Linked DNA regions of Drosophila melanogaster. The protein of the gene in region 4 interacts with the protein of the main gene of each other region in a pairwise test. Each region holds a gene or a part of one and is shown on either strand. Other genes may lie near its edges.

Region 1 (8,850 bases), on a different chromosome or scaffold from region 4:
CCGGAAGATCTGGCCAAAGGCGCCAGAACGAACCGAATCCATGGTGCCGGGCTCCAGGTCCACGAGAATTGCGCGTGGCACATACTTGGCACCGGTGGCTTCATTGTAGTATACATTGATGCGCTCCAGCTGGAGATCACTATCGCCGTAGTACGTTCCGGTCGCATCTATACAGTGCTCATCCGAGATTACCTCCCAGAATTTACCACCGATCTGGTTACCGCATTGACCGGCCTGAATGTGTACAATTTCACGCATTTTGATAGTAAAGTTAGGGCCCCTTTTTCACACCGAAAAAATGGTACAAAAAAAAATCGAGCTTTTAAAACAGTCTGAGTGGGGCAAAAATCGGCAAAAGACTGAATATTTAAACGTATAATTTTTCAGGTTTAGATTTTAGTCGTGTACGTGCTAGCTGATACTGAGGTGAACTGAACCTGGCTTGGATTACTACACCGAATGTTCACAAATAGGCTACTACGATTTCCGACTTCGACACATTTCACACACCCCGATTTCAGAAAACTCAGTTCTCCGTTTTGAGCACAAACTTTAATAGTACTTACATAGATAAACGAATATACGGCTAAAATTCGAGATGGGATGGATTTGGCGGTGCCTTGGAAGCAATAGAGGATTCCAAGGCTACCGACCAGATGATACGATTGATATTGACATGGATGTCCTGGATTTTACTCCTTTGTAAATGTTTATATGGGTGTATAATGGGATGGGTCGATTATTTCTTAAGCAAAAACTGCCTTTTAAAGACTATTAACCTTGCTCTCCAAACTTATATGTATTATGACCCATCCTGGTTTAAAAATCTACGTAGGGAGGAAGGTTTGTCTAACAACCAAATTTTGGCGGCGGATGGTTCTCTACAGGATTGTAACTACGATTTGGTGATCCATTGGCTCTGGCTCCTACAATGAGGAGTCCCACAGCTGGCTGTACGGATATCAGACGGAGGCTCGCTTCAGGCACAAGGTGCTCTCGATAATGTCGGTAGGCTGAAAGTCCGGGTCCACGAACTGCTCATGATTCAGGCACCTGGTGCCACCCATGCAGGTGCAGGAACACAGGGAGGCGGTCTCATCGTTCTCCGTTGTGTAGTTGTTCTCCAGCAGCTTGCCGTGCATATTGTACGTGGACTCATCATCGAAGGTCACCGGCTGGGCATTTCCAGCCAAGTTCTGAGCATCCTGCTCATCTCTCTTGGCATCCTCTGCTTGCCTGTGATTAAAAATCCATTAAATAAGATATTTCCTGCAATAGAACATGGACTCACATGGTCATGAATCGGAGCACCAATAGATTGATACTGGCGGCCACCACGGCCAAGCCGAATAGGATGAAGACCAAGCTCAGCGCCACATAGCCAGGCTTATTAGTTAGAGCTTGGTCGTTCTGCAATGCCACATAATCGCCGAAACCAATTGTCGTCAAGGTGACAAAACAATAGTAGAAGCTATCGAAGTAGCTCCAACCCTCGTATCGGGAAAAGACTGCTGCTCCAGTGGTGATTATTATGGAGGAGAGCATTCCGGTGGCCAACATGAGATTCATTTCGGTGGCATCCGTACAGCGAGCTCCACTGGCTCTCTTTGCCCGCCTTATTATCACGGATGCAAACTTATTCAGACGTTCTCCGATAGACTGGAACATCACCAGACCCAGCGGGATGCCCACCTAATAAGGGAATATCTTTAGAAGACTGGAAATTGGGATTGTAAGTTCACTTACCATAGCATAGCCCATACAAAATGCTTTTCCCGGAATTGTAACTGGCGTAGAATGACCATATCCTAAAGAAAGTTACAACAGAATTATAATCTATTCAATAAATCATATTTAATAGATAATTAATTTACCTATCATTGCCAGTACAACCGTGCTGAAATAGAAAGCTCCAGCGAATTTCCACTGAGGTCCGGCCTTGTGGGGCTTATTTTCAATGATGACGATTTCCATCACACGGAAATCCTCGTCAGTCACATTGTACTTTCTAACAAAGTTGTTCTTAACGGCTACAATTGATTAAATAAATTCATTACTAAGAAATTAGGTTAATAAATCAACAAGCTTCTCACTCTGTAGGAATTCCCATCTTTTGGCCTCCGTTGGTGACTCCAGGGAATCGAACACGGCGGCTCCAATTAAAAGATAGGTGAAAGTGCATACCACCAGGGAAAGGGTACGGACATTCTGTCGCTTCATCATATAGTCTCAAATATAATCACTACGATCTATAATCAATTAATATATTTTGCACCACGCGCCTTTTTCGTTCAGTTAAAGATGCTGCGTCTGACAAAATCGATAGTTGTCAGCAAAACAAACACACAGCATCCGCCAAAAATGGTTGATTTCGGTTACAGTGGCCGAATAACATATGATACAATGAATTTTAAAAATTTCATCATTCTTTAAATATGTAATAAGTTTTCTTTTATCTATTGATTTGACCGTTAATCTCAATAAAGGATTGTGATTTTACCGTTAGTTTATCACAACAGAAGCAACAGAATTTGATGGCGTTGCCACTTGGCGGTATCTGTTAACTCTGTACAGCTAAAAAGCTGTAATGTCACGATAACTAAGGATAATAATAATTTTTTTAAAGGATCAATATACACAAACAACATAAGAGTTTTATTACATTTTCTTTAATTGCCTTTAAAGTTTTTGTCTTTCTAAGCCATTTTAACAATTTAACATTTTGCAGTTAGCAGCGCCGATAACTTGACAGCCTATCGATTTTCGGGAAAAGCAAACATATCGCCAGATCTGATTTGTTTATGCTAAAAAAAAACCACGCAAGTTCCAACCGATTGGATTGTTGCAGTTGGCTGCTGTGTCTCTGACGTCGACGTTTCCATGCTTAATTAACCGGAAAATGTTGCGAATACGTCGGCGGTTCGCTTTGGTAATTTGCTCCGGCTGCCTGCTGGTTTTCCTCAGCCTGTACATAATCCTCAATTTTGCGGCGCCGGCAGCCACCCAGATAAAGGTAAATAAATGCTTCTAAATCAATTCGAATGTATAATAACTTCTTTATTTTAGCAGCCCAACTATGAGAACATTGAGAACAAGCTGCATGAGCTGGAAAATGGTTTGCAGGAGCACGGGGAGGAGATGCGGAATCTCAGGGCGCGTCTTGCCGAAACATCCAATCGCGACGATCCAATAAGACCTCCACTTAAAGTGGCTCGTTCCCCGAGGCCAGGGCAATGCCAAGATGTGGTCCAAGACGTGCCCAATGTGGATGTACAGATGCTGGAGCTATACGATCGCATGTCCTTCAAGGACATAGATGGAGGCGTGTGGAAACAGGGCTGGAACATTAAGTACGATCCACTGAAGTACAACGCCCATCACAAACTAAAAGTCTTCGTTGTGCCGCACTCGCACAACGATCCTGGATGGATTCAGACGTTTGAGGAATACTACCAGCACGACACCAAGCACATCCTGTCCAATGCACTACGGCATCTGCACGACAATCCCGAGATGAAGTTCATCTGGGCGGAAATCTCCTACTTTGCTCGGTTCTATCACGATTTGGGAGAGAACAAAAAGCTGCAGATGAAGTCGTAAGCATGCTTTCCCTATATAGTATTGATACAATAATGAATAACGGTAGTTAACCCACAAAACAAAGTGCAATGCCATTTTGCTATTGCATTCCATAAACCTTACACAGTTGTTATGTGCAGCAGTGAAATATTTTACTTCGTTATTGCGTCAAAAGCGTTTAGATAAACAAAATGCATGATCACGCTGCTTGTTTTCCGAAACAGCTTTGTACTTATCTACCTAATATTTATAACCCAAAGCAGAAATAGGAATTGATAAGCTTTGCAGTCTCAACAACTACAATATTTAGTTTTTAACAAAAAATAATAAATTATTTACTTATTTACAGCATTGTAAAGAATGGACAGTTGGAATTTGTGACTGGAGGATGGGTAATGCCGGACGAGGCCAACTCCCACTGGCGAAACGTACTGCTGCAGCTGACCGAAGGGCAAACATGGTTGAAGCAATTCATGAATGTCACACCCACTGCTTCCTGGGCCATCGATCCCTTCGGACACAGTCCCACTATGCCGTACATTTTGCAGAAGAGTGGTTTCAAGAATATGCTTATCCAAAGGACGCACTATTCGGTTAAGAAGGAACTGGCCCAACAGCGACAGCTTGAGTTCCTGTGGCGCCAGATCTGGGACAACAAAGGGGACACAGCTCTCTTCACCCACATGATGCCCTTCTACTCGTACGACATTCCTCACACCTGTGGTCCAGATCCCAAGGTTTGCTGTCAGTTCGATTTCAAACGAATGGGCTCCTTCGGTTTGAGCTGTCCATGGAAGGTGCCGCCGCGTACAATCAGTGATCAAAATGTGGCAGCACGCTCAGATCTGCTGGTTGATCAGTGGAAGAAGAAGGCCGAGCTGTATCGCACGAACGTGCTGCTGATTCCGTTGGGTGACGACTTCCGCTTCAAGCAGAACACCGAGTGGGATGTGCAGCGCGTGAACTACGAAAGGCTGTTCGAACACATCAACAGCCAGGCCCACTTCAATGTCCAGGCGCAGTTCGGCACACTGCAGGAATACTTTGATGCAGTGCACCAGGCGGAAAGGGCGGGACAAGCCGAGTTTCCCACGCTAAGCGGTGACTTTTTCACATACGCCGATCGATCGGATAACTATTGGAGTGGCTACTACACATCCCGCCCGTATCATAAGCGCATGGACCGCGTCCTGATGCACTATGTACGTGCAGCAGAAATGCTTTCCGCCTGGCACTCCTGGGACGGTATGGCCCGCATCGAGGAACGTCTGGAGCAGGCCCGCAGGGAGCTGTCATTGTTCCAGCACCACGACGGTATAACTGGCACAGCAAAAACGCACGTAGTCGTCGACTACGAGCAACGCATGCAGGAAGCTTTAAAAGCCTGTCAAATGGTAATGCAACAGTCGGTCTACCGATTGCTGACAAAGCCCTCCATCTACAGTCCGGACTTCAGTTTCTCGTACTTTACGCTCGACGACTCCCGCTGGCCAGGATCTGGTGTGGAGGACAGTCGAACCACCATAATACTGGGCGAGGATATACTGCCCTCCAAGCATGTGGTGATGCACAACACCCTGCCCCACTGGCGGGAGCAGCTGGTGGACTTTTATGTATCCAGTCCGTTTGTAAGCGTTACCGACTTGGCAAACAATCCGGTGGAGGCTCAGGTGTCCCCGGTGTGGAGCTGGCACCACGACACACTCACAAAGACTATCCACCCACAAGGCTCCACCACCAAGTACCGCATCATCTTCAAGGCTCGGGTGCCGCCCATGGGCTTGGCCACCTACGTTTTAACCATCTCCGATTCCAAGCCAGAGTGAGTAGCCAGTTAAAGATTACCCATTTATCAAAGGAACAAGAATCCTTTCCGTACTTTCTGTATTAATTGTACATTTTCGTAACACGTTTCGCTATGCCGTTTCCTTAAACCATTATAGAGTGCAGGTTTTATTTATTGATATTAATATTTCATTAACCAGATGCCGTAATTGTCTTCTATTTATACTATTTATTTATACTTTTTCAATAAGCATTTCAATGTTACTTACAGGCACACCTCGTATGCATCGAATCTCTTGCTCCGTAAAAACCCGACTTCGTTACCATTGGGCCAATATCCGGAGGATGTGAAGTTTGGCGATCCTCGAGAGATCTCATTGCGGGTTGGTAACGGACCCACCTTGGCCTTTTCGGAGCAGGGTCTCCTTAAGTCCATTCAGCTTACTCAGGATAGCCCACATGTACCGGTGCACTTCAAGTTCCTCAAGTATGGCGTTCGATCGCATGGCGATAGATCCGGTGCCTATCTGTTCCTGCCCAATGGACCAGCTTCGCCAGTCGAGCTTGGCCAGCCAGTGGTCCTGGTGACTAAGGGCAAACTGGAGTCGTCCGTGAGCGTGGGACTTCCGAGCGTGGTGCACCAGACGATAATGCGCGGTGGTGCACCTGAGATTCGCAATCTGGTGGATATAGGCTCACTGGACAACACGGAGATCGTGATGCGCTTGGAGACGCATATCGACAGCGGCGATATCTTCTACACGGATCTCAATGGATTGCAATTTATCAAGAGGCGGCGTTTGGACAAATTACCTTTGCAGGCCAACTATTATCCCATACCTTCTGGTATGTTCATTGAGGATGCCAATACGCGACTCACTCTCCTCACGGGTCAACCGCTGGGTGGATCTTCTCTGGCCTCGGGCGAGCTAGAGATTATGCAAGATCGTCGCCTGGCCAGCGATGATGAACGCGGCCTGGGACAGGGTGTTTTGGACAACAAGCCGGTGCTGCATATTTATCGGCTGGTGCTGGAGAAGGTTAACAACTGTGTCCGACCGTCAGAGCTTCATCCTGCCGGCTATTTGACAAGTGCCGCTCACAAAGCATCGCAGTCACTGCTGGATCCACTGGACAAGTTTATATTCGCTGAAAATGAGTGGATCGGGGCACAGGGGCAATTTGGTGGCGATCATCCTTCGGCTCGTGAGGATCTCGATGTGTCGGTGATGAGACGCTTAACCAAGAGCTCGGCCAAAACCCAGCGAGTAGGCTACGTTCTGCACCGCACCAATCTGATGCAATGCGGCACTCCAGAGGAGCATACACAGAAGGTGAGCTTAGAAGTTTATTATATTAATATCAAAGAAAGTGGAAATGGTATTTATTTATAATTAACAATATTGTTTGACTAATTGTTCGTTCGTCAGCTGGATGTGTGCCACCTACTGCCGAATGTGGCGAGATGCGAGCGCACGACGCTGACTTTCCTGCAGAATTTGGAGCACTTGGATGGCATGGTGGCGCCGGAAGTGTGCCCCATGGAAACCGCCGCTTATGTGAGCAGTCACTCAAGCTGATCGCAACGTGTTATGGCAAAGGATAAAGCAGAAACTGAAGCCAAGCGACCATCTCACAACCTATGAATCTCGGACGCTAATCCACTGCAATACAGGCAATCTTCGTTTAATGTTCGACTTAAGCACTGACTGCACCGAAAGACGTAATGCGTAATCCATACTACGTATCATTTATTTATTCAAGCTTCCACACGAGGGTTTGGAAATTCAATCCTATGACGCAGCGGTGTATTTTTCGCACCCCCGTGTAACTACACGTTTTACTCTGTTTCCCCTAGTTTTTTACGTTTTTTTGTGATATCCATCCAGTCCCACAGCAAGCAATACATGTCTGTACTCGATATCCCCAATGGGGTTATTGCCTATAACAATGAATCGTAACTATAACTAACGTTTAACTGTAAAGTAGGCTTAGTGATAATGACGCAACTGCAATGATATTAATCTCGACGTTTGTTTTTTACAAATTGAATAAAATTGAGTCTCATTTAGAATCGACTTTTACGTGCTATTCTAAACTAAAAACATAACGACTGTTTTTATTCGAAAAAGGAAAGGATTTGTATTACTATTCAAAATCGTCATTTAGGCTTTAGTTAGAATCGTGTTGTTGGTAAGTTATGAATGCACTTTCTATGAATATTTAATTTTTCTCAGTAAACTAAAATAAATACATTTTAATTTAATTTTTAACATTACATTTAATTTTTTTTTTAATATTGTAAGTAATGAATGTTAGTAAACAGTTGATCTTTGCATTATTAAGTTTTGAATTTATGTGGATTATGAAACGAGCTTTTGAGACGACTAATTAAAGCCATAATCATGAGTTATAGTTTTAGTGGATGAAAAACAGAATGCAATCTTATCAGCTCCAGTGCGGGGTACTATTATTGCCAGAATGACCTACAGAGATAGAGATACTAAGAGCGCGGAATTGGAAAATGCACAATGGAAATGGAAATCCGGATTGAGTGTAAAGTGGTTGTTTTGGATAGAGAGCGAATCGCTGCGCAGTTCGCTCTCTTCAAAATCCGAAACGAGCAACGAAAGCAAAACCGAATCCGAATCGGAATCCGAATTCGTATTTGTATCTGTAAGATACGCTCTCGCGCTCTCTTCAACGACGACCATCGGAATTTTTCTATACAGAAACAAAAATCTCAGTCAGCTCGCTGTTTTCAAGTTTGGAATCCGCATTTCAGTTCAGTTGGATTCAGTCACAGAGTCAGAGCGTCAGATTCAGATCATCGTGGTCGCCAGTGAGTTTGTTTATATGTTTGTGGCTGCCTGTGTGTTTGCTTGTCAAGTTCTGCAACAAAAACAAGGCATCTAAACAAAAGTGGTTCAAAACAATTACGAGGAATAAAATCCAACTAAAACGAATAATAAAACACACAGTGTCGCTTAAATCGCAGAGTATCTGCAGCTCTAGTTCTTGTTGTTGTTGTTTTTTGAGGCGGACTGGAATTTAATTTAATTAAATCAAGTACGAATGTGTGCGTGAGTGTGTGTGTGTGTGTGTCTAAGCTGGGTTCTTGAGTTGTTCTTGTTCTAAGTTCTTTTTTTCGTGGCGTGTATCTGTGTGCGCGTGTCGTGTGCTGGTTTGCGTGTGCTTTTTGTGAACTACGTTTTGTTTCAATGCCAAAAAAAAGTATCTATGCCCTGGCATGTGCTCTCTCTCCATCTCTCTCTCGCTCGCTCATGCTGGTTACATAAATACTGGTAGAAGAAGTGGAAGAGATGGTGGTGAAGAAGGAGGAGGCGGAGGTAACAGAAATTGAAATACAAATTCAATTAACACCTGAAAACGAAAATCCAACTGGAACGCAAACGTCTGATTGGATAAGGAAAATAGAAAACGGGCAAACATGTGTTTGAATTTCCAACTCGTCTTCTTCTTCCC
Region 2 (5,761 bases), on a different chromosome or scaffold from region 4:
CCCGCGGCCTGACCGAGGTTGGCCTCTATCGATTGTCCTCGTCGGAGCGGGAGTACAAGGCCCTCAAGGAGCAGTTCCTGCGAGGCAAGGCCACTCCACATTTGGGCAACACGGATATCTATGTGCTGTGCTGTTGTGTCAAGGATTTCCTGAGGTCCCTAACAGAGCCTCTCATTCCCACCAGCCAATGGAAGGATTTCGCAAACGCAGTCCAAAATCCTGACACCAAAACTGCCCAGGATATGTTGGTTAAGTCGGTGAAGCAGCTACCACAGGCCAATAGGGATACGCTGGCCTTCCTCATACTGCACTTCCAACGAATTGCCCAGTGCCCAGTCGTGCTAATGCCGATCGATAACATCTCGCTCATCTTTGGCCCCACCATTGTGGGCTACTCCACACCAGATCCCGACCAGCATGCGATCTACACGGAAGTTTTCACCCAGAAGCAGGTGATGAAGGCACTTCTTGAGCTGCCCGTTTCGTTCTGGGAGCAATATATCGTTATAGATCCGACAAGAACACCGGCCACAGTTATCAAGCGGGTGCCAAGCAACAAAAATGACTTACTCTCGCTATATGGTGAGTTATTTATGAGCTAATTTTTTTAATTATTCTAATTATCTCTCCTTCACAGCAACTCCCTTCAAAGGAGGCACCATTAAGAAGCGGAAGTTTTACGGCACACCGCCGGCATCTGCGCACAAGAAATAACGAGACTTTCCTTGTTGGAAAGCATTTGACGTGTTACTTAAGTTTACTTCAAGTATTTTGCAAGTTTTTTGTTTCCGGCCAGCCAACCCCGAGCTGTATTTGTACCCAACCCAACCATAAGCTTTTCTTTATAATTTATGCGTTCGATTATAAACTAAAGCACGTTATTATCGTACTAACATAAGTATACTCACCAGAGAAATAAACTAAAATATGCATTTGAAAAGCAATAAGAACAATGAACAAATATATAAATAAACGATAAAAGAATATAACAAGTTTTTATTCAAGTTCAAATATTTTTGAATCTGTTTAGTGAACTTACTTTTTTATATTCTTGATGGCAAATTATTGGAGGCATGTTAGTAACCAAAAGTATATTAAACATTTCCGGATTTGGATTTGGAAACGGGAATGTTTCGCCACAAAACGTGCATCACAACTAATGGCAAACTCGATACAACTTTGGAATATCCCTTTGATAGGATTATCTAAAAACGTGATAAGCTCGGTCATTGAAAATACTGACTGCCGCTCAGAAAACCCCATGACTGATAATTGTGCACAGCTAGAGCCGTATCATCATCAAACTGGTTTGGACAACTCTCGTAATAATACCCTTAACTGCGCCATGGAACCGTCAGTCTGTCGATTGGAACCCATTTAGAATGTTCGGAGCGCATCAGAATCTCTCAATTCAGCTGGTGATTTTTCTCTCCTTAGCCGTCACCATTTGCTTGGGATCCCAAAATGCCACAAGCTGCGGGCATCGCTGTGGAGGAGGCGACTGTATCCAACTGGACCAGCTGTGCGATGGGAGCGCCAACTGCTTGGATGGTTCCGATGAGACGGTCGCCATGTGTGAGAAGGTCTGGTGTCCGGGTTATGCATTTCGCTGCAGCTACGGTGCGTGCATAGCCAGCACAGCGGTTTGCGATGGCGTCCAGGACTGCGTGGATGGTTCGGATGAGCAGGGTTGGCTGTGCCGGGCGCAGATGCAGCAGGCTAACTGCGACAACTGGGAAATGTACTGCTCCTCTGGCCAATGCATGACCTATTCCAAATTGTGTGATGGCATCCGTGACTGCCGAGATGGAGACGATGAGCTGGAGTCCCTTTGCGAGGGCGTTACCATACCAACGACTACAGTCAGTTCAACGACAAGTACAACTACGGAAAGTAGTATCCATAGGATAACTCCCACTGTTCCTGTAACAAGGAAGGCGTCACGACCAAATCCTCTTCAGGAGAACGGGGAGTGCGTGGTTCCCCAACTGCCAAACGTTATGGTTAAGCACTTCACAGATGCAATCCTCACTGTAGGATCAAGGGTAGCCAATGGCACCCGTATCTACTACGACTGCCCGGCGGAGCACAGACTGAAAGGCGAGAACCAGAACATTTGCCAGGACGCATTGTGGGCTAGGAAGTTTCCTTACTGTGAAAGTAAGTTGTGTATTTATCAAAAGTTTCTTCATTAATACTAATTTATTTACTTTTAGCACCCCAAGCGTATGTTTTCAGCTTGGTTATAGTAATATTCTGCTTCCTAATCGTGGTATTGGTGTTTCTAATTTGGCGGGTGCGTCGAGAAAATGGCTCAAGAAGGCAACGAGAGGAGCACATTTGGCTGGTGGAGACCAGCAGTAATCTTCCCCAGACATCTTCAATACCAAAGGTCTAGGAATTAATTTTTACAAAGCTAAACATGTGATCACGCATACTTACTTATTTACCAGCCAAGTTGTTGATAAAAAGTACTGTTAATTTCAAACTATCTAGGCTTATCTTATGTAAATAATGTTATTTCAAGTTCTCCATAAAAATTAAAAGCTTAAATACGAATGTATATTTATTTTTAGAGTAAAACGTGAGAAGTAGTATTATATTGTAAATATATTAAAACAGATTTAAGAACATAATAATTGTGTTATTAGGTTGCACATTTTAATTTCGGCTGTTAACAATACTTTTGCGTTAACAGCTGTAATGCTAGAACCACTTGTTGCTGCGACCCAAACTGTGACTGAAACAGTGACTGGAAATAGTGGCATTTCTGGTGGGAGCGAACGCGGTCACACCTGCCCCACTAGTGCGCCAATATTGCTCCAGTGCTTCGCAGCGTAAGTATCCCAAGTTCTAGAGTGGCTCCATGCCAGATACCGCCACAGATTAGATAACGAATTGCACTTGCAGCCGGCTCAGAGTTCCTTCAATTGAAAATGGCCAACATTGCTAAGATCTTCGCTAGCCGCGCCCAGTGCGTCCTGCAGGCAGCCGCCCGTCAGCCACAGGTGGCCACCCGTTTCAGCAGCTCCTGTAAGTAGATGGTTGATTGCGAGGGATCAAAGTCCACGCGATTGATGCCCAGCTCCAACCTAAGCCGGAATATCAAGATATCAAGTGCCGCCGGTTTCTTGGCGACATCTTTTGTACTTTTCCAGGCAAATAAACATTGATTGCGTAACATTCGCGCACATACGATCACCTCATTTATGATGCCATCTCTTTTCAGCCACCAACAACAACTGGGAGTACATCAAGACCGAAGTGGCCGGCGAGGGCAAGAACGTAGGCGTGATCACCCTGAACCGCCCCAAGGCCCTGAATGCCCTCTGCAATGGCCTGATGAAGGAGCTGTCCACCGCATTGCAGCAATTCAGCAAGGATAAGACCATCTCCGCCATCGTTTTGACGGGCAGCGAGAAGGCCTTCGCCGCTGGCGCTGATATTAAGGAGATGGTGGGCAACACCTACTCGCAGTGCATCCAGGGCAACTTCTTGAACGACTGGACAGAGGTGGCCCGCACCCAGAAGCCCATCATTGCTGCCGTGAATGGTTACGCCTTGGGCGGTGGCTGTGAGCTGGCCATGATGTGCGACATCATATATGCCGGTGACAAGGCCAAGTTTGGTCAGCCTGAAATTGCCCTGGGCACCATTCCCGGTGCCGGTGGCACCCAGCGTCTGACCCGCGTCGTTGGCAAGTCCAAGGCCATGGAAATGTGCCTCACCGGCAATATGATCGGCGCCCAGGAGGCTGAGAAGCTGGGTCTGGCCAGCAAGGTGGTGCCCGCCGACCAGTTATTGGGCGAGGCCGTCAAGCTGGGCGAGAAGATCGGCACCCACTCCAATCTGATCGTGCAGCTGTGCAAGGAGGCGGTTAACACGGCTTACGAGACCACTCTCCAAGAGGGCCTGAAGTTCGAGCGTCGCACCTTCCATGCCACGTTCTCCACGGTTAGTTCAAGTTTAAATATCTGCTTAACACTATTTAATCTCTTGTATTTTCTTTCATCCAATAGGCCGATCGCAAGGAGGGCATGACCGCTTTCGCCGAGAAGCGCCCTGCCAAGTTTACCAACGAGTAAATACTACCCTAATCAATCCCAGCCAGCTTTGCATTTATATTATCTAAAAGAAAAACTGTTGTTTCTACGCAATTAAAACTTTAATCGTGATAATTTGAAAATGAACAATTTACCATAATTTGTCATTAGTATATGAGGTATGCTAGTCCGCATGTCAGGTGGTAATCCATTAGTATAAACATGGTATGGCCACTTGACAGTCGGCTTGCTAGCCCGATTATCCTCCTATTTCTAATCGAAACAAAATAAGTGCTTAGGTGACTTCCATGGTTGTGTCTTGTTGCTTTCGAGTTTGGAAGGCATGTTTTTTGGAAAATTGTGCGCTGTGTAGCGTTGCCTTCGTGAAGAATATTCAATCTCATGGAAATCTATACCTCCCCGTATCCTTCTCGAGCCATGTGGATTTTTATAGTGCCTGGAGGCATCGGAGTCATCGCAACAACGAGCTAAATGTCGATAATTTCGTGACCGTGAGTAGTTCTTATCCCTGTGCATGGGACAATGTTCTGTAAATCGGAAACGATTCCCCTTTGGTTCAATCACACAGGGATCACTTAGTTCGGTGGTAAACTCGTAGTTTCGATATGTAACCAATCCTCGACGTATGCCCGGATTTTGTGACTCAGTTGGCCGTGAGGTGAGCAAGTAATCTGTGCACGGCCTGCATTTCTCTACATGCCTCTTAGCCCGCTTTTTGCGCTCCCGATGTTCCTCCCACTCCCGCTGGGCACGGGATACCAAAGGCTGAGGAACTTGACAGGGAGCTGTCTGGCGTGTATCATTTGAGTGGCAGCTCCAATGACTGCAACTATCCGAGGAACAACTTCTGTTACGTAGTGGGGATTTCTTTGCTTGCGACTTCTGATAATTCCTGCCTCTTGGTGGCCGCCTGGAACAGGATGGTTGCCCAAAGGAGGAGTTGGTACTCCTGTACGTAACGATTTCTGAGCCCGATGTGTGCGTATTTCGTATCGAATTGCCTCTTTTCTTTATAGTTGTAGACCATAACTTGGGATCTCTTGGTCCGCGTATATCCAGGATACTGTCCTGATCCCTGAAGGAGATTTTCCTGTCCAAAGGATTCATTTCGCTGCATATTACACTTTGCTTAACTTTTTGATGCTCCAGATCAGAAGTCTCCCTGAAATTTATAGACCGGGGGCTATGCCTAGGTCTTTCGCTCACCGATTGATTCGACTTAAACTCAATTGCTTTAGATCCTGACCAGAGAAATCGCTTGGCAAATGCATGTAGTCTGGGCAGCAGGCGTGGTTTCTTTGAGAGATGTCCATCTGAATCTGCAGTCAACTTTCTTGAGATAAGTCCCGGCCATCTGGGATTACTTTTGCATGTAGAAAGATTATCTTCCCAGTCAAGTGAACTGTCAATTGGAGCTCCTTTCCGATTTCTACTGTGTCCTAGTCCAAATGACTTAAGATTCTTGGCACGCGAACAAGTTAGATGATTGTGGTGATCGAGAGAATCTGAGCTAGTTTTCTCAACGATCTGTTGATGTGTGGAAGTGCTGCAGGTACATACATCCTCACTTTGATCTGAATAATCCCGACTGCAAATGGTTGGCTGGATACATCTTTGGCGCACTCCACAACTCCGCCTGCTGTCAGCCTCCTTTAATCGCCGCTTCACCTCGCCCCTTACATTCGGATGCGTTGTGG
Region 3 (6,255 bases), on a different chromosome or scaffold from region 4:
TCTCCGATCTGTAAGGCCAAGTCAAACTTATGGTCGGCATCGGTAGAGACTTGCAGGGCCTGCGACTTAAAGCCCTGTTTCTCCAGAAAATGTGCCACCCTAGTGCGGTGCTCCTTGGGAATGGTCGGTAGCACAACGTCTGCGCGCTCAAAGTCTCTTCGCATAACCGCCGTCTGGTACTCCAGCACGGACAGCTGCAGACAGAAACTGATCACGTTCAACTCCTTATCGCCGAGGTAAATACGATTGTCCTTGGGCACGTAGCCCAGCAGATACATTGTGCGGTCTAAGTGGGATACTGTCACAATCTCGCCGCCCACGTAGTAGTTGATGCGGTTCACCGAGTTGGTATAGATGAAGCAGTCTCCCACCCAAAGTCCTGTTTTGACGCACTCCGAAACCTCGCCTGCAACACAAATGCATAATACAATACAATTATACTTTCTTGCTATTATGTGGTAAATGGAAATATTTTTTTAAATTTAAATTTAAAATAGTTTGCTCTCATGGTGAAATACAGAGTAAACCATTGTTGTATGCTCTCTATAGGAATATTGAAAGCGGAATCTCATTTGAGAAATCGTGTTTGAGACACGTATTCTAAAGATAAGATACATATTAGATAATTGGTATCAACTTACCCAGCACATTGAAAGCGCTCTCCACACCATCATCCTCCAGTCCCTCCTTGGTCTCTACGGCATTGGCAACCTGGGCAGTGTCCACCCCCAGGACAAAGTAGGAGTCATCTGTGGCCAAGCAGACCAGACTGCCACTTTCGTTCCAAAACACATTCTTTGGCTGCACCTCGATGCGCCTCACCAGTTGCAACGTCTCCCAGTCATAGAAGGCCAATCCGGATGAGGTTTTTACACCGAAATAGTAGCCACCGTATATGCTCTCGGCTCCGTACTCTGGAGTAAAACTCTTGCGCTCCTTGAAGTTGCGAAAGAGTCGAACGGTGCCGTTGTTCTCCCTGATGGCGTACTCGTTGCTCTCGAGGGCCCACACAAATTCTTGCGCGGAACCGAAAGCCTTATTTCTCAGGGCCATCGATGTGTAGATGATGTACTCGCCATCGCCGCATACAACGACGAAACGACCGTTGGGATTGTGAGCAATGGTCTGCGGGTAAATCTCGCAGGCGCCCATATCCTTGGTGGCAACGGGCAAGCGTTCGCCATCCTTGATCTCTGTGCCATCAGCAATAGTCTTTAGATTGACCTTTAGAAGAAAAGAACGAAGTAAGAAATAAAGTTGAAAGGATATGTTATTGTCTAACTAACCTGCTGCATTTCGGAGTGCTTGGCCCAAATGATCTTGCTTCCCACAACGTCCATAGACATTGCTGGCTCCTCGCGGCCCACCTTAATGATGATGGAACCCTCATCGTAGCCCAGAGCCACGTTGTTGGTGCCGCGCATGCTGGAGATGGTCCACACCCGCTCGAAGCCGTAGTTGAGGCAGGTCTCGAGGCGATAAGTGCCAGAGTGCCAAATGCGGACGGTGCCATCTTCTGAGCCAGTCAACACGATCGGCAATTCCGGGTGGAAGCAGACTGCGGAGATATTCTGAGCATGCCCCTCTAAAGTCTGCACACAGGTTTTGTTTTGGTAATCCCAGATTTTGACCAAACGATCGTCAGCACCGGAAATCAAGTATGGCTTATCGCCACCATGGTAATAATCCACACAATTTACACCCTTCTCATGTCCTTCCAGCGTAAAGTTGGCGAAATTAGAGCCCAACTGCCACACCTTGACAGTGCGATCCAGCGAGGCGGAGGCAAAGGTGTTGTTGTCCTTCGGGTTAAACACGATCTGCATGACGTAGTGGGTGTGGCCCTCGAAGACACGCTGGCAGGCCCACATCTTCTCCCAATTCCAAAGCTTGATGAGCATGTCATCTATAGAATAAAGAGGAAACAGGAATAAGACACGAAACCGAAGCATACTTCCCAGCTGGTGCACTAGGTAAACATTGGGTGACGAAATGGGAGTCACACCACCCCGCCGTTCACTTACCACTGCTGGTCAGCACCAGCGGCTGTGTGGGATGCACCGCGATGCAGCGCAGATAGTCCGAGTGCGCCTCGAACGAGTGCACCTTCTCCAGGGTGTTGTAGTTGAACACACGGATCTGCATGTCATCTGAGCCGGTGAGGATCCAGTTCTTGCGTGCCACGAAACGGGCGGAGCGCACAGGCACGTCGCAGACCTCGAAGTCCTTAACCATTTGCTGGTTCTCATAGTTCATGATGTGTACGTGGCCATTGTATAGGGCGCACAACATCCACGGCTCCGCCGGATGGAGATCGACGCACTTGACCCGATCCGAGCGCGACGTCAGGCGACGCTTGATGTCTAGTTTGAGAGGCATCTTCCACGGTTTGGGCCAACTATGGCTGTCTGCGAAAACACTAATTAATTGCGGCGAGACCAAAAAAACTCTTTTGCTGCCTCCGCTGCTCTTCTTCTTCGCTTCGTTAATGTGTCAGAGCTGGCATAGGGTTGTCGCCTGCCACGTACAGGCGCTGCTAATCGGCGTATCGATAGTCGCAAGCTCTTTGGATATGGCTATTTTTAACCTAATAAAAATTAGCTTTCAATTAATCTTTTAATAAATCAACAGCTGTACCTGACTTAAAAGCTGTTCGTCATTAATATTTTAGTACAGTGCACATTTTAGTGCACATGTATTTGCAATTGTTTTCCAATATATTTATATTTAGTATTAATCCTTTAATATTAATTTTAAGTTATTTGGCCGCTAGGCTTGCTAAGCGTCAGCACTGGTTGGTGATGGTACAGGTGTTTTTCGAATAGCCGGCACTTTGATCCAAGCTGTTATTGCCATCTCCTTCAAAGTTGCCTATCGATAGGTTTCTCAACTAGTCCACGTCTTCTACTTGCGGTTTTTCTTTTTGTAAAATAAGAATGACGCTTTAATGTTGTGTTAAACATGCAATTACCTAGAGCGCACTAACTAGTATAGCATCAGTTAGGTCAATTGTTACCTGTAGGTGTAAAGTTCAAGCCGCCTGATGTGGATAACCGGTCAGTTTGTTTTTCTTCTGCTGGTGGCACTTGTTGCCGCAAAATCGAAAACCTCGGCGGTGCAGGATGACATCGCGGAGTATAAGGACTTCAAGAAGCTGCTGCGCACCAAGAACAATGTCCTCGCGCTCTACGTGACCAGTGCGAAGTCCGCTGCTGCTGAGCTAAAGATATTCCGTGAGGCGGCGGAGGCGATACGGGGAACCGGGACAATGTTGCTGCTAGATTGCGGACAGCAGGATCGCAAGAAACTGTGCAAGAAGTTGAAGGTATCGCCGGACCCCTACGCCATTAAACACTACAAGGATGGCGACTTCCACAAGGACTACGACCGGCAGCTGAGCGTCAGCTCCATGATCACTTTCATGCGTGATCCCTCCGGCGATTTGCCCTGGGAGGAGGATCCAGCCGGCAAGGATGTCCTGCACTTCAGCGATGCCGCATCCTTCACAAAGCATTTACGCAAGGATATCCGGCCCATGCTTGTCATGTTCTATGTTCCGTGGTGCGGATTCTGCAAGAAAATGAAGCCAGAGTACGGAAAAGCGTCTACGGAGTTGAAAACTAAGGGCGGTTATATTCTGGCGGCTATGAATGTAGAGCGACAGGAGAACGCTCCTATACGCAAAATGTTCAACATAACTGGTAAGTTAACAATTTTTGCTTAGTTTTAAATTAAACGATACATTTACAGGTTTTCCCACCCTGATTTACTTTGAAAACGGCAAGCTGCGCTTTACATACGAAGGAGAGAACAACAAGGAGGCTTTGGTGTCTTTTATGCTCAATCCAAATGCCAAGCCAACGCCAAAGCCCAAGGAACCCGAATGGTCGGCGGATACCAACTCGGAGATTGTCCATCTCACCTCGCAGGGTTTTGAGCCCGCTCTGAAGGACGAGAAGTCCGCCCTGGTCATGTTCTATGCACCCTGGTGCGGACACTGTAAGCGCATGAAACCGGAATACGAAAAGGCCGCTCTGGAGATGAAGCAGAAAAAGATTCCCGGCCTTTTGGCTGCGTTGGATGCAACGAAGGAGCCGTCAATCGCAGAGAAATACAAAGTCAAGGGCTATCCAACTGTTAAGTTTTTCTCGAATGGCGTCTTTAAGTTTGAAGTAAATGTACGCGAAGCATCGAAAATTGTTGAATTTATGAGAGATCCCAAGGAGCCCCCACCGCCTCCGCCACCCGAAAAGAGTTGGGAGGAGGAGGAGGACAGCAAGGAAGTCCTATTTCTGGATGACGACAACTTCAGTTCGACGCTGAAGAGGAAAAAGCATGCGCTGGTCATGTTCTATGCACCCTGTAAGTTTTGCCGCTTGATTGTTAAACATATTTAAAGCTCTACTAAAGACTAACCGTCTTCAGGGTGTGGACACTGTAAGCACACAAAACCGGAGTTTACAGCGGCTGCCACGGCCTTACAGGATGATCCTCGGATAGCGTTTGTCGCCATCGACTGCACAAAGCTTGCCGCGCTCTGCGCAAAGTATAACGTACGCGGATATCCCACCATTCTGTACTTCTCTTACCTCAAAACCAAGCTGGATTACAATGGCGGACGCACCAGCAAGGACTTTATCGCCTATATGAACAACCCGCCTACCTCAGCGGACCGCACAGAGCTGTGATACGCTGTTGCAAAGTATAACGATGCTTCTCCCACAACACTTTGCAATCTCACTTTTTGTATTACCATAAACTGTATTCGTTCCGTTCAGTTTACAATCAGCTTGAATGTCGTCTAGACTATCGAATATTTTATAGAATGTATGCGCATTTTGTAACTATATAGCATACTAATAAATTATGTTATAACTAATAGTATAATTTCATTTTTACTGCGCTTATCCCTCTATAATAAAATAATAAAATTTAATTAAAAATATAAATTAGTATGTTAAATACCATATCAGATTAGTGTAATCCTCTTAAGCCAATTTGATTTGTATACAGTGCACGATAAGAATAGCCGAAGTTCGGGTGAGAAATTGTAATTGAAAAAAGGTAATTCAAGATAATGCTTGACCAATTATTTGATAAGCACGAGTGTTACTATCTGGTGTAGATAATGTTATGCATGAATGAAAATTAATGCCGTAAAATATCAATAGTTATGCAAGACATTGCTTTTTTGTAGACTTCAGTCTCTGGGTGTCTATTTTCGTTTCTTTTATTGTACAATTAATTTCAATAATTTCTATTTGCGTTTAAAACAATTTCTAAACTTAAAATATTTTGGTTTAGCCATATAGCTAATATAGGTATATATTTATTTTTAAGTTTCTCATCAAAGTGGCACTCATGTTAAGAGCAAAACTTCCACCTATTGCACACTTGCTCTGATGTTCAATGGTTTCGATTTCTCTCGCCTGAATTTTAAAGCCGATCGAAGGGATGAACATAAGATGGAACTGGGCTTTCGGATGGTTTGATACGTGGCTCTGTTGGGCAGGGAGGTCTCATGGGAGCGGGAGCAGCCAGGTATATAATGGTAAAGGAGTTAACGACCTGCTTCGGGTTTACTATTGACCTTGCGCCGGCTCAAACTGCCCAACCAACTGCCGCGTTGCTCATTAGCCGTATATTCGTCATTGATAAGCGCGAATCCGTGAAACATGTCCTTCATCTTGATGGCCCGTGAGCAGGCGTAGTTCTTGGTGGCCACGTACATCTTGGTGAGGAACTCGGGCATTTGTTTCTGAGTAACCCAGGACTTAATATTCTGCGGTATGGGTATGCCCGGATCGTCGAAGTACGTGAGGACAAAGTGGAGGCCTGGCTCATGGAAACCGCGAAAGGGCTTGATGACCATCAGGCTCCAATAGTCAGTGACGCGAACTTTTCCAGACAACGCCGGATAGGTGTTGTGCGTGGCTCCGCGGTTGCAAATGAATATCAGCTTCTTGTTGTCGTCTTTTATGTAGCGGCGACAATAGACGTAGTCGCGATTGGCGAACAGTCGTGGCCACTGCATCTCCCAGTATATCAGATGCGAGTTGCTGCCCGGGACGGGATCCTCGCTGATGAGCTCAAGTCTTAGGGCCGTGTCGTCCCACTGGCGACGGTAATCCAAATCCGTTTGAACGTGGAGGAAGTCGTCCGCTGTGATGTCGTCGAATCGAGCATAAACCTGCAAACGGAAAGGCGGCATAAAAGTGAGCCCTAAAAAACTTTTAGATGGCCTCTTACCTTGTA
Region 4 (8,187 bases):
ATCGTTTGGAACGACCCATAACTTATTCGGAAACTGGCCAGCGGCTACCGGTGGACGTCTATATGCGCGCCTACATCTACTTCATGCAGAACCTGGAAGCACACGATCTACAGTTCAAGATCTATGCGCTCCTCCAAATGCGATACCTCGATCCGCGTCTCAACTTTCGCAACGTAAGTCCCAAGCGCAGGCAGCCGATTTTGGGCGAGGAGCACCTGAGAAACTCGCTCTGGATGCCCCACATATTTCTAGCCAATGAGCGCGACTCCAGTATTTTGGGTGAGTACGGTAGAGTCTGGAGTAGACTCGTGCTTGATTGCAACTAATTGGTAGGTCTCACGGAGAAGGACATCCTCACCTCGATATCGCCCGATGGCACAGTGATCGTTTCGAATCGCATCAAGGCGACACTCTATTGCTGGCTCAACCTTAAGAAGTTCCCATTCGATGAGCAGCACTGCTCGACGGTGCTGGAGAGTTGGATGTACAATACGTCGGAACTGGTCCTCCACTGGGAGCAGAAGCGTCCGATAACCTACGATGGGGCACTGCATCTCACCGAGTTTGTGCTGCAGCGTTCCTGGTCAAACGAGACGGTAATCAATGCCGATTTGAGTGACCTGCGTCATGGAGCCTTTGCCGGCAACTACAGCTCCCTCAGCTTCACCGTTCACCTGACGCGAGTGGTTGGCTTTTACCTGATGGACTACTTTCTACCCTCCATGCTGATTGTGGCCATATCCTGGGTATCGTTCTGGCTGCAAGCAGATCAGGCGCCGCCGCGCATCACGCTGGGCACCAGCACCCTGCTGACATTCATTACCCTGGCCTCGGCACAGGGAAAGACTCTGCCAAAGGTTAGCTACATCAAGGTGTCAGAGGTGTGGTTCCTGGGCTGCACCATCTTCATATTTGGCAGCATGGTGGAGTTCGCCTTTGTTAACACGATTTGGCGTCGTAAGAAGAGTGTGCCCGTCAAGAAACTGAACAGCAAACACATCCTGAAGTCAACTCTATCGCCGAATCTGCTCAGACGACGCAGTCACGCCAGATCCAGATCCTTTTCGGGCACGGCTCTGCATAAGACAGCGGATACCGGCTCGCTGGGCGGTGCCGGTTTCAACAATTACCTAACCGTCAATTTGCCCATCACCACGATTAAGGAGGGCCAAGTTCTGGATCAGCAGAGGACCAGCCGCGTCGTCCAGAAGATGGATGTTAACTTTGTGGAGAGTGCCTTTGGATCCATGGGCTCTGCCCAGTCCACTGGAGCGATCAGTGCTGCCAGCAGCAGCCAAACTTTGACCAACAATAACCGAACGGAGAGCGCGGGGCACCAGGAGGAGATCGATCTGAGTGGCTGGACCACGCTAACGCCCCAGGAAATAGCCATGTGGATTGATAGTCGAGCCAGATTCGTTTTTCCGCTCTCCTTTCTCGTCTTTAATCTGTTTTTCTGGACATTTGTCTACTGTATTTAAAAAAAGGTCCATTTCATTTTATTATTAGATTACACAGTAGATTTAATATTGTGAAAAGTATCCAATTTAAAGTGTTTATTATTTGTACCCATCGTTTAGCATAGTTTGTTTAATTATTGTGAAAGTTTTGTATTATGTTTGTTTCACTTTGTTCTGTAAAATGATTTTATATTTATTCTGTTGTAAAATAAAGTTCATGATTCTATGGCTGCCTAAAAAACACCATCAATTATTTAAATAAAATAACCTATGATAAAATAAATCTTTCGGACTTGCAATTAAATATTAAATAAATAATAAATTAAAAAACTTGTTTTCAACAACGATTCCATTACCCGCCTCGTTTTCGATTACGGAAATCGATAGAAATATCGATAGGCCAGGCCAAGGAGCACCGGCCAAGCCAACCTGTGGGTTAGAGCAGCACAACTATACCGCGTATTCTTATCGTATTCGTTTTTTCCCCACACATACACACACACGGCTCACGCATACAGCGCAACAATAACATCGGGCCCCAAAAAAAAGGGAAAAAAGACGACGGACAAAAACTTCGTCGTGAATTGTAAAATACAAAAAAAAAACGCATTCGAACGCGCTGGTTTGTTTTTTTTTTCACGTGTAACTACGCCAAAAAAAGGGCAAAGGAATTAAGCAAAAAAAAGAAGCAGAACTTCGAAGCAGCAACAACAACAGCGCCGCATTTTTGCTTGTATGTGCAAGTGCAAGGCAAACATAAACAACGCGCGTGTGTGTGTGTACCACGAAAATATCGTATAAATCAAATTTCTATATCATTTATATAGTTTTTTTTTTGTTTTTGCCATCATAATATGCCATATAGCGATCACCGAAATCCAAACGCAAACCAAACTCCAAAAAGTTAGTTTCAAATACAACCACACATCGTTTGGATCGTGTTCACAAACTTATAGTAGGAAGGAAAAGGAAAAAGATAGAAAAAAAACGAACTAAATAATAATAAACGAAAAAGAAAAACGGCGCTGAATGTTAACCGGTAAAGATAGCGGTAAATTGCGAGGGAGAAGGACGACAACAACAACAACAACGACCGCAGAGGGGGCAAAAGTCAGCAACAAAGTGCATCCTCCTTCTCCTGCTCCCCATCCTATTCCTTATTTACTGTTATAATGGACACCATCTGTAGATTGTGCTTCCAAACGGCAACGGTATGTTAACAAAAAAAAAAAGATATACACACATGTGATTTAGGTATATACACTTTGTTATTTCTATTGATTTTTTTTCTTTTGGTGGAGTTTAAACAATTGAATTCGCGCTACTGTTATTGTGCGGGCGGGTTGTTGGCGCAGGGGGCGGGGTTCAAAAGCGCGCGCATTGCCCCCCTTTCCCCACACACATACAAACGCACACACACAGAAATAAGAAATACACATACACATGCGACCCCAAACTATTGCTGAACAATTTTTATTTTTAGCCAACTCAGCCCGAAAAGTTGTTCAAGCCGACAACTTGAAAAAATATTATTTTTACATTTTGCTTACGCTCGCCACTCGCTTTTCACTTTGACTCCTTTTCAACCTATTCCCCCGAACAGGCCCCCCTCTTTCAGCCCCCTCCCGCCGCCCATGAACCGCACAAAAAGAAATACATATTAAAACAAAATGACAGAAATTGCGCCAAGGCAGCCAAATACGCAGTGGCTGCGCGTTAATTTAGTGACAGAGGGTTTACTATATTGGGCATCTAAGCCCAAAAATTTAAAGTTAAGCGGTTATAAAACTAACAAAACAGATCTAACTTTGCTTGGTTTTTAGTTCATTATTTAAACAATTACCAAATAACCCCTTTTTTGTAGGCGACGCCTCTGCCGCCGCCGCTGGCAGAGCGGCGGCAAAGCAAAACAAAAAGCGAAAGAATAACAAAACGTTGTACCGAAGAAAAAAAATAACATGAAATGAAAACAACAACAACAAAGCAACGAGCTGCTGGTGCTGTTGTTATTGTAGTTTCTTTTCTTTCTTTTTCGCTCTCCATGTGTGCGTGCCTGTGTGTGTGCGTGTGTTTATCTTCTTGGCTCTTATTTCTAGTTGGTGGAAAAGAGAAAGGGCTAGTTGGCATGGAAGGGGGAGGGTATGTGTGGAATAAGATTGAGTTGCCACAATAAATAAAGAGCATTATTGGTTTTTTTTTTCCAATTGGAAGCACTCTCTAATTCACGTGTCCTGTTCTGTTCTATTCTATTCCCCCGCCCTACAGTTGTTCCAGGTGCCCGGCTATAGCATACCCACGTGCGTCCGCTGCTCGGAGCAGTTGACAAATAATTCCAACTTCCATCAGTCGGCGGCGGCCGCTGCAGCCGTCGCTGCCTCTGCCTCGGCCGCAGTTGCCGCCTCTGCAGCAGCGGCGGCCACCTCCTCGTCGACGGCCTCCTCCAGCGACAGCGACGCCATCGCGCAGCAGCAGCAGCATCAGAATCCGCAGCAGCAGCAGCATCAGAACTCGCAACAGCAACAACAACAACAGCAGCAAATGCAATCATCCAGTTCTTCCGAGAACCTACAGTCGCAGGACGACTCCGAAGACGTAAGTCCATTTCAGGGATTGGGATACCAAGGCAGGGAGAGTGTTGCAAAGGGCATAGTGAGTGGGTTGCACTACGTGTAGTGTTACGAGAGGCATGGCAAGAAGTGGCAGCGAATACAGTGCTGCAAAGGGCTTACTAAAGGAGATAAATAAAGTAAATAACTGAAGGTCGTTCTTATTTTCAACTAAAATATGAACGTCTTGAATATGTATATTAATATCTATGAATAAATTTAAAATTTAATCCTAATGTTTAATAGTCCACGAAAAGTGTTCTATGGTTTAGGAATCCAATCAATGCAATTGCCCATCAAACTATAAATGATTCAAAAAAATTGACAATTTAAACCTAATTACAGAGTTCACTGCAATCCTCAGTAGATGCATTGCATTTGGAATTATAGGGGTTTGAAGACCCCCATCAACCGTTTTCAGAAGAGTGCTTTACTTCCCAGGGAGTTCGACTCCTGCTCCTTTTGCTGCACTTGTTTATTATTGTTGTGCTATTTTCTCTTCATTTTCTTACATTTCACTACTACTCCCCCGCTCACAAAAGTCTTACATATACATATACATAAATGCACACGGACACACTGCACATTCATAGCCGCTGCTTTTCTTCTTCACTTCTTATTTCGCCGTTTCTTTGCATGTTCTTGTTGCCTTTCTTTTTCCATCATGCAACAGAGAATTGCAAAAAAAAAAAATGTATAAATAAATGTAAAATTGCCTTGCGACGACTTGGGAATGCTCTATTGCAGACATGTTTAGATACTATTTACTATTGCTGCTATTTACATAAATTTCAAAAAAAAAACTTCAGTACAGTCTCATTCCATCACACAGTCGACGTGGTAGTGTTGGAAAGTTCTTATAGAAGATTAAAAACGGTAGGCCCTACAGATATGCATTACAAACGGGTTAGAAAAGTGTTGAGCGTGAGAGTATTTTCTATTCCACTTGCTACATTTCGCACTGCTCATTTTCTTGTTTTCCTTTATATTTATATGTATATATATATATATATATAGATATATGTATATACACATATATTTTGTGCTTCTTTTTCCATTAATATCTGCTCTGTCGACGTCGACGTCGAAGTCGACGCAGCTCGGCGTTTTTGTGCGCTGTGTAAAGCGGAAAAAATTCATTTTCAGTTGGCGCTTTTGGTGTGTGGGTGTGCGTGGCACGCAGAAAAATAAATAAAATAATTATAATAAAAAAAAAGCTCGTGAAAAATATTAAATGTAACTCAAGTGATTCCCCAATAAACAAACTGAATTCGCACGGGAATTTGCAATCCGTTCTTTTGGCCGCCAGCTTGTTGAGCGTGAGTGGGAGTGGGAGGGCGATAGTGACACAGTGATGTGCACTTGGCTACTTATTCGTTAGAACTATATGCATATATAATGTACAGCTTAGAAAAAAGGTTTTTCGCATAAATTTATAGTAGGTTGTATTAAAGTAAAATGGCATATCATATATAATGCCTTTCTGATGGAAGGTAACCCGCGGTAGAAGGCAAGCCCTTTGCAACTAATGTTCGATTTGTTTCTTTAAGGTGGATCTGATATTCAACGAGGAGGGCTCCTGCCCGCTATGCAACAAAACTTTCTCGCGCAAATCCTCGCTCATGACGCACATACGAAATCACTCGGCGGAGCGTAAGTTTGTGTGCACCTACTGCCACAAAGGTGAGTCCCATATGCCGTTCGCACACATCATCTGGTTCTTAACAATCGATGTACCTCTTGGATTTTCAGGCTTCACGCAGGCGGCCAACTTGCGGAACCACGAACGCATCCACACGAACGATCGGCCATATCAGTGCGTGGACTGTGGCAAGACCTTCACGCAGATCACCAATTTGAACAATCACCGCCGGCTGCACACCGGCGAACGGCCCTTCGTTTGCAATGAACCGGAGTGCGGTCGCAGCTTCGCCCAGGTCAGTTCCAAGATAAATTGATAAATTGCAGAGGATTTATGATAATAACGGCTCGATATGTTCTCGCATTGCAGGTGACGAACCTGAACAACCATATGAAGTCGCACCACAAGGTGCAGCAGTACTGCTGCAACGTGTGCAACAAGAAGTTCACGCAGGTGACCTCGCTGAACCAGCACCTGCAGGCGCACGCTGGGGTCACCGGCTACTACTGTCCGCGTTGTCCGGAGAAGAACTTCAAACTGCAGTCGCAGCTGCATACGCACATGAAGACCCACGGCCTGGCCTTTCCGTACGAGTGCGACAAGTGCGACGAGAAGTTCCTGCAGCAGGCCCATCTCGACCAGCACCTCAAGATGCACGACGAGTTCAAGTTCAAGTGCGACATCTGCCCGAGTAGCTTCAATCAGGAGTCGCTGCTGAAGAAGCACGTGCAGCGCCATGTCGAGGGTCGCTACCTCTCCTGTCCGGTGGCCAATTGTGCCGAGTCCTTTGCGGTGCGCCAGCACCTCTCCAAGCACCTGCTCACCAATCACGCCCACCACGAGCTGCCGCCTCCGAAGCGATCCAAGAAGGCGGGCACGCTGCAGACGTCGCAACAGCCGCTGGCGATGATCGGCCAGCCGTTGTCACTGCAGCACACGACAGGGCAACGTAAGTGCTCACCATTCACTCATTCACTTTGAATCTCACTACGCCTTTCGTTGCATATCCAGGTGGGCGTCCGCCGAAGAACAAGAACAAGGCGACAACGCTGGCCGCCACGGCCATCAAGATCGAGATCAACGAATCGCTCCACAGCCAGCATATCAGCAATGTCAGCGGCCTGTCCATCCAGCAGCAGATCAATCAGCACATGCAGCAGCAGGCGGCACAGCAGCAGGCGCAGCAGCAGGCGGCACAACAACAGCAGCAGCAGGCGGCGCAACAACAGCAGCAGGCGGCGCAGCAGCAGCAACTGCTGCACTTGCCGATGGGACAGGCGGTCAAGGCGCGTTTCATACCCACTAAGTAGGCTAGTTAAGAATGGAAAGAAGGTCTCTTTTAGCTTAAGCCCCGAACGATCAGCTGCTAAAGTCCCTGATTAGCATAGCCATAGCCAAAGTAGCATCACATTCAGCACATACACACGTAAAATATGTTAGATATATGGCGCGGATGTTTTGGAGTCTCTGCAGATCTCTAAATACTTTTGGGTGTCTGAAGTTGATGTAGAAATCATTCTTTATATGCGTTACCCGTGGAGTTAAGCGTATGCTGGATTGGTGAAAAAAAGGTATGGAACAGGCAGTAGGAAGCGTTTTCGTCCTTGAATTCTGAATCAGAATGGAATGGGGGAGTTAGTCGAGTTCATCGATTAAAGCTAGCTTTTAGTTTTTCTGAGATGCACTTGTCCTACTCTCGCATTGAGTTCAGCATCAACTTTTTGGGTATCAGAATCCACTTAATTATCTTGAAATCGGCGAGTGGACTTCCAAAACATCCCGAATTTAGAGTCGGCGGCAAGCTGCTGGTTCAGTTTGGTGTCTGTCTCCCACTTCCTGTTTTGAATTCAGCAGCCAAAGCAATAGAGGAACCAAATGCCCCTGAATAAATTTCCAAGAATATTAGCAGCAATGCATGACATCGAAAGAGATAAGGAGAAAAAGCAGCAGCACCAGATGGACAGACAAAAACACAACTGACTTATAAAATTATGCACATAACACCCACATCTATATATACATTATATTATATAAACATGAGATCGGGTTGAGAAATCTGTAAAACTTAAATCGAATTAAAATTTTATTGTAATGCAAAGGCGCAGCGAAACGGAAAATATAATGTTGAAAAAACAAAAAAAAAAAAAAAACAGAAAGCAAATACAAATTACCTACAATTGATAGTAATTACGCATAGAGAAAAGTAACGAAAACAAGAAGTGAAAAACAATTCGATTAAATTCGGTATGTATTTATGTTAGGCATTAGCTTAAGTGTTTTTATTTTTTTTTTAATAAACCATTACAAAAAATCAACATTAAGAAACGAAAACAAGCCGACAAATTTTCATTACAACGAAAGATTTCTTCTGAATGGGTGAAATTTGTTATATATTTTGAATATATATATATAAATATTTCAGAAGTGACACAAGCGATCAGTTTTATATAATACATATATGTATATATAGTTTATTTGC

Evidence for each region.
Region 1: the proteins of CG32772 (region 4) and alpha-Man-IIa interact in a two-hybrid assay, tested with the Drosophila melanogaster proteins (one large-scale study listed by BioGRID).
Region 2: the proteins of CG32772 (region 4) and Echs1 interact in a two-hybrid assay, tested with the Drosophila melanogaster proteins (one large-scale study listed by BioGRID).
Region 3: the proteins of CG32772 (region 4) and CG9302 interact in a two-hybrid assay, tested with the Drosophila melanogaster proteins (one large-scale study listed by BioGRID).

Annotation. Positions count from the first base shown.
Region 1 is NT_033777.3:9,409,795-9,418,644, forward strand, and holds alpha-Man-IIa (alpha-Mannosidase class II a), read left to right. Parts: upstream 1-2,753; 5' UTR 2,754-2,899; coding exon 2,900-3,013; intron 3,014-3,066; coding exon 3,067-3,596; intron 3,597-3,928; coding exon 3,929-5,401; intron 5,402-5,635; coding exon 5,636-6,698; intron 6,699-6,794; coding exon 6,795-6,944; 3' UTR 6,945-7,470; downstream 7,471-8,850. Other genes in the region: betaTub85D (beta-Tubulin at 85D), read right to left, coding at 1-258; Task7 (TWIK-related acid-sensitive K[+] channel 7), read right to left, coding at 963-1,236, 1,292-1,692, 1,747-1,808, 1,875-2,030, 2,094-2,223. UniProt on the Drosophila melanogaster protein: Catalyzes the first committed step in the biosynthesis of complex N-glycans. It controls conversion of high mannose to complex N-glycans; the final hydrolytic step in the N-glycan maturation pathway.
Region 2 is NT_033778.4:13,851,374-13,857,134, reverse strand, and holds Echs1 (Enoyl-CoA hydratase, short chain 1), read left to right. Parts: upstream 1-2,803; 5' UTR 2,804-2,936; coding exon 2,937-3,033; intron 3,034-3,229; coding exon 3,230-3,954; intron 3,955-4,019; coding exon 4,020-4,085; 3' UTR 4,086-4,188; downstream 4,189-5,761. Other genes in the region: tum (tumbleweed), read left to right, coding at 1-582, 638-714; CG6553 (uncharacterized protein), read left to right, coding at 1,383-2,160, 2,217-2,398; CG30485 (uncharacterized protein), read right to left, coding at 4,317-5,761.
Region 3 is NT_033779.5:13,375,146-13,381,400, reverse strand, and holds CG9302 (uncharacterized protein), read left to right. Parts: upstream 1-2,862; 5' UTR 2,863-3,043; coding exon 3,044-3,701; intron 3,702-3,750; coding exon 3,751-4,362; intron 4,363-4,425; coding exon 4,426-4,688; 3' UTR 4,689-4,946; downstream 4,947-6,255. Other genes in the region: beta'COP (coat protein (coatomer) beta'), read right to left, coding at 1-406, 642-1,224, 1,287-1,906, 2,025-2,379; CG6565 (uncharacterized protein), read right to left, coding at 5,561-6,190, 6,250-6,255.
Region 4 is NC_004354.4:4,907,127-4,915,313, forward strand, and holds CG32772 (uncharacterized protein), read left to right. Parts: upstream 1-1,975; 5' UTR 1,976-2,193; exon of another isoform or gene 2,194-2,325; 5' UTR 2,326-2,632; coding exon 2,633-2,671; intron 2,672-3,725; coding exon 3,726-4,052; intron 4,053-5,254; exon of another isoform or gene 5,255-5,385; intron 5,386-5,616; coding exon 5,617-5,749; intron 5,750-5,818; coding exon 5,819-6,003; intron 6,004-6,077; coding exon 6,078-6,657; intron 6,658-6,719; coding exon 6,720-7,018; 3' UTR 7,019-8,035; downstream 8,036-8,187. Other genes in the region: CG6927 (uncharacterized protein), read left to right, coding at 1-279, 334-1,481.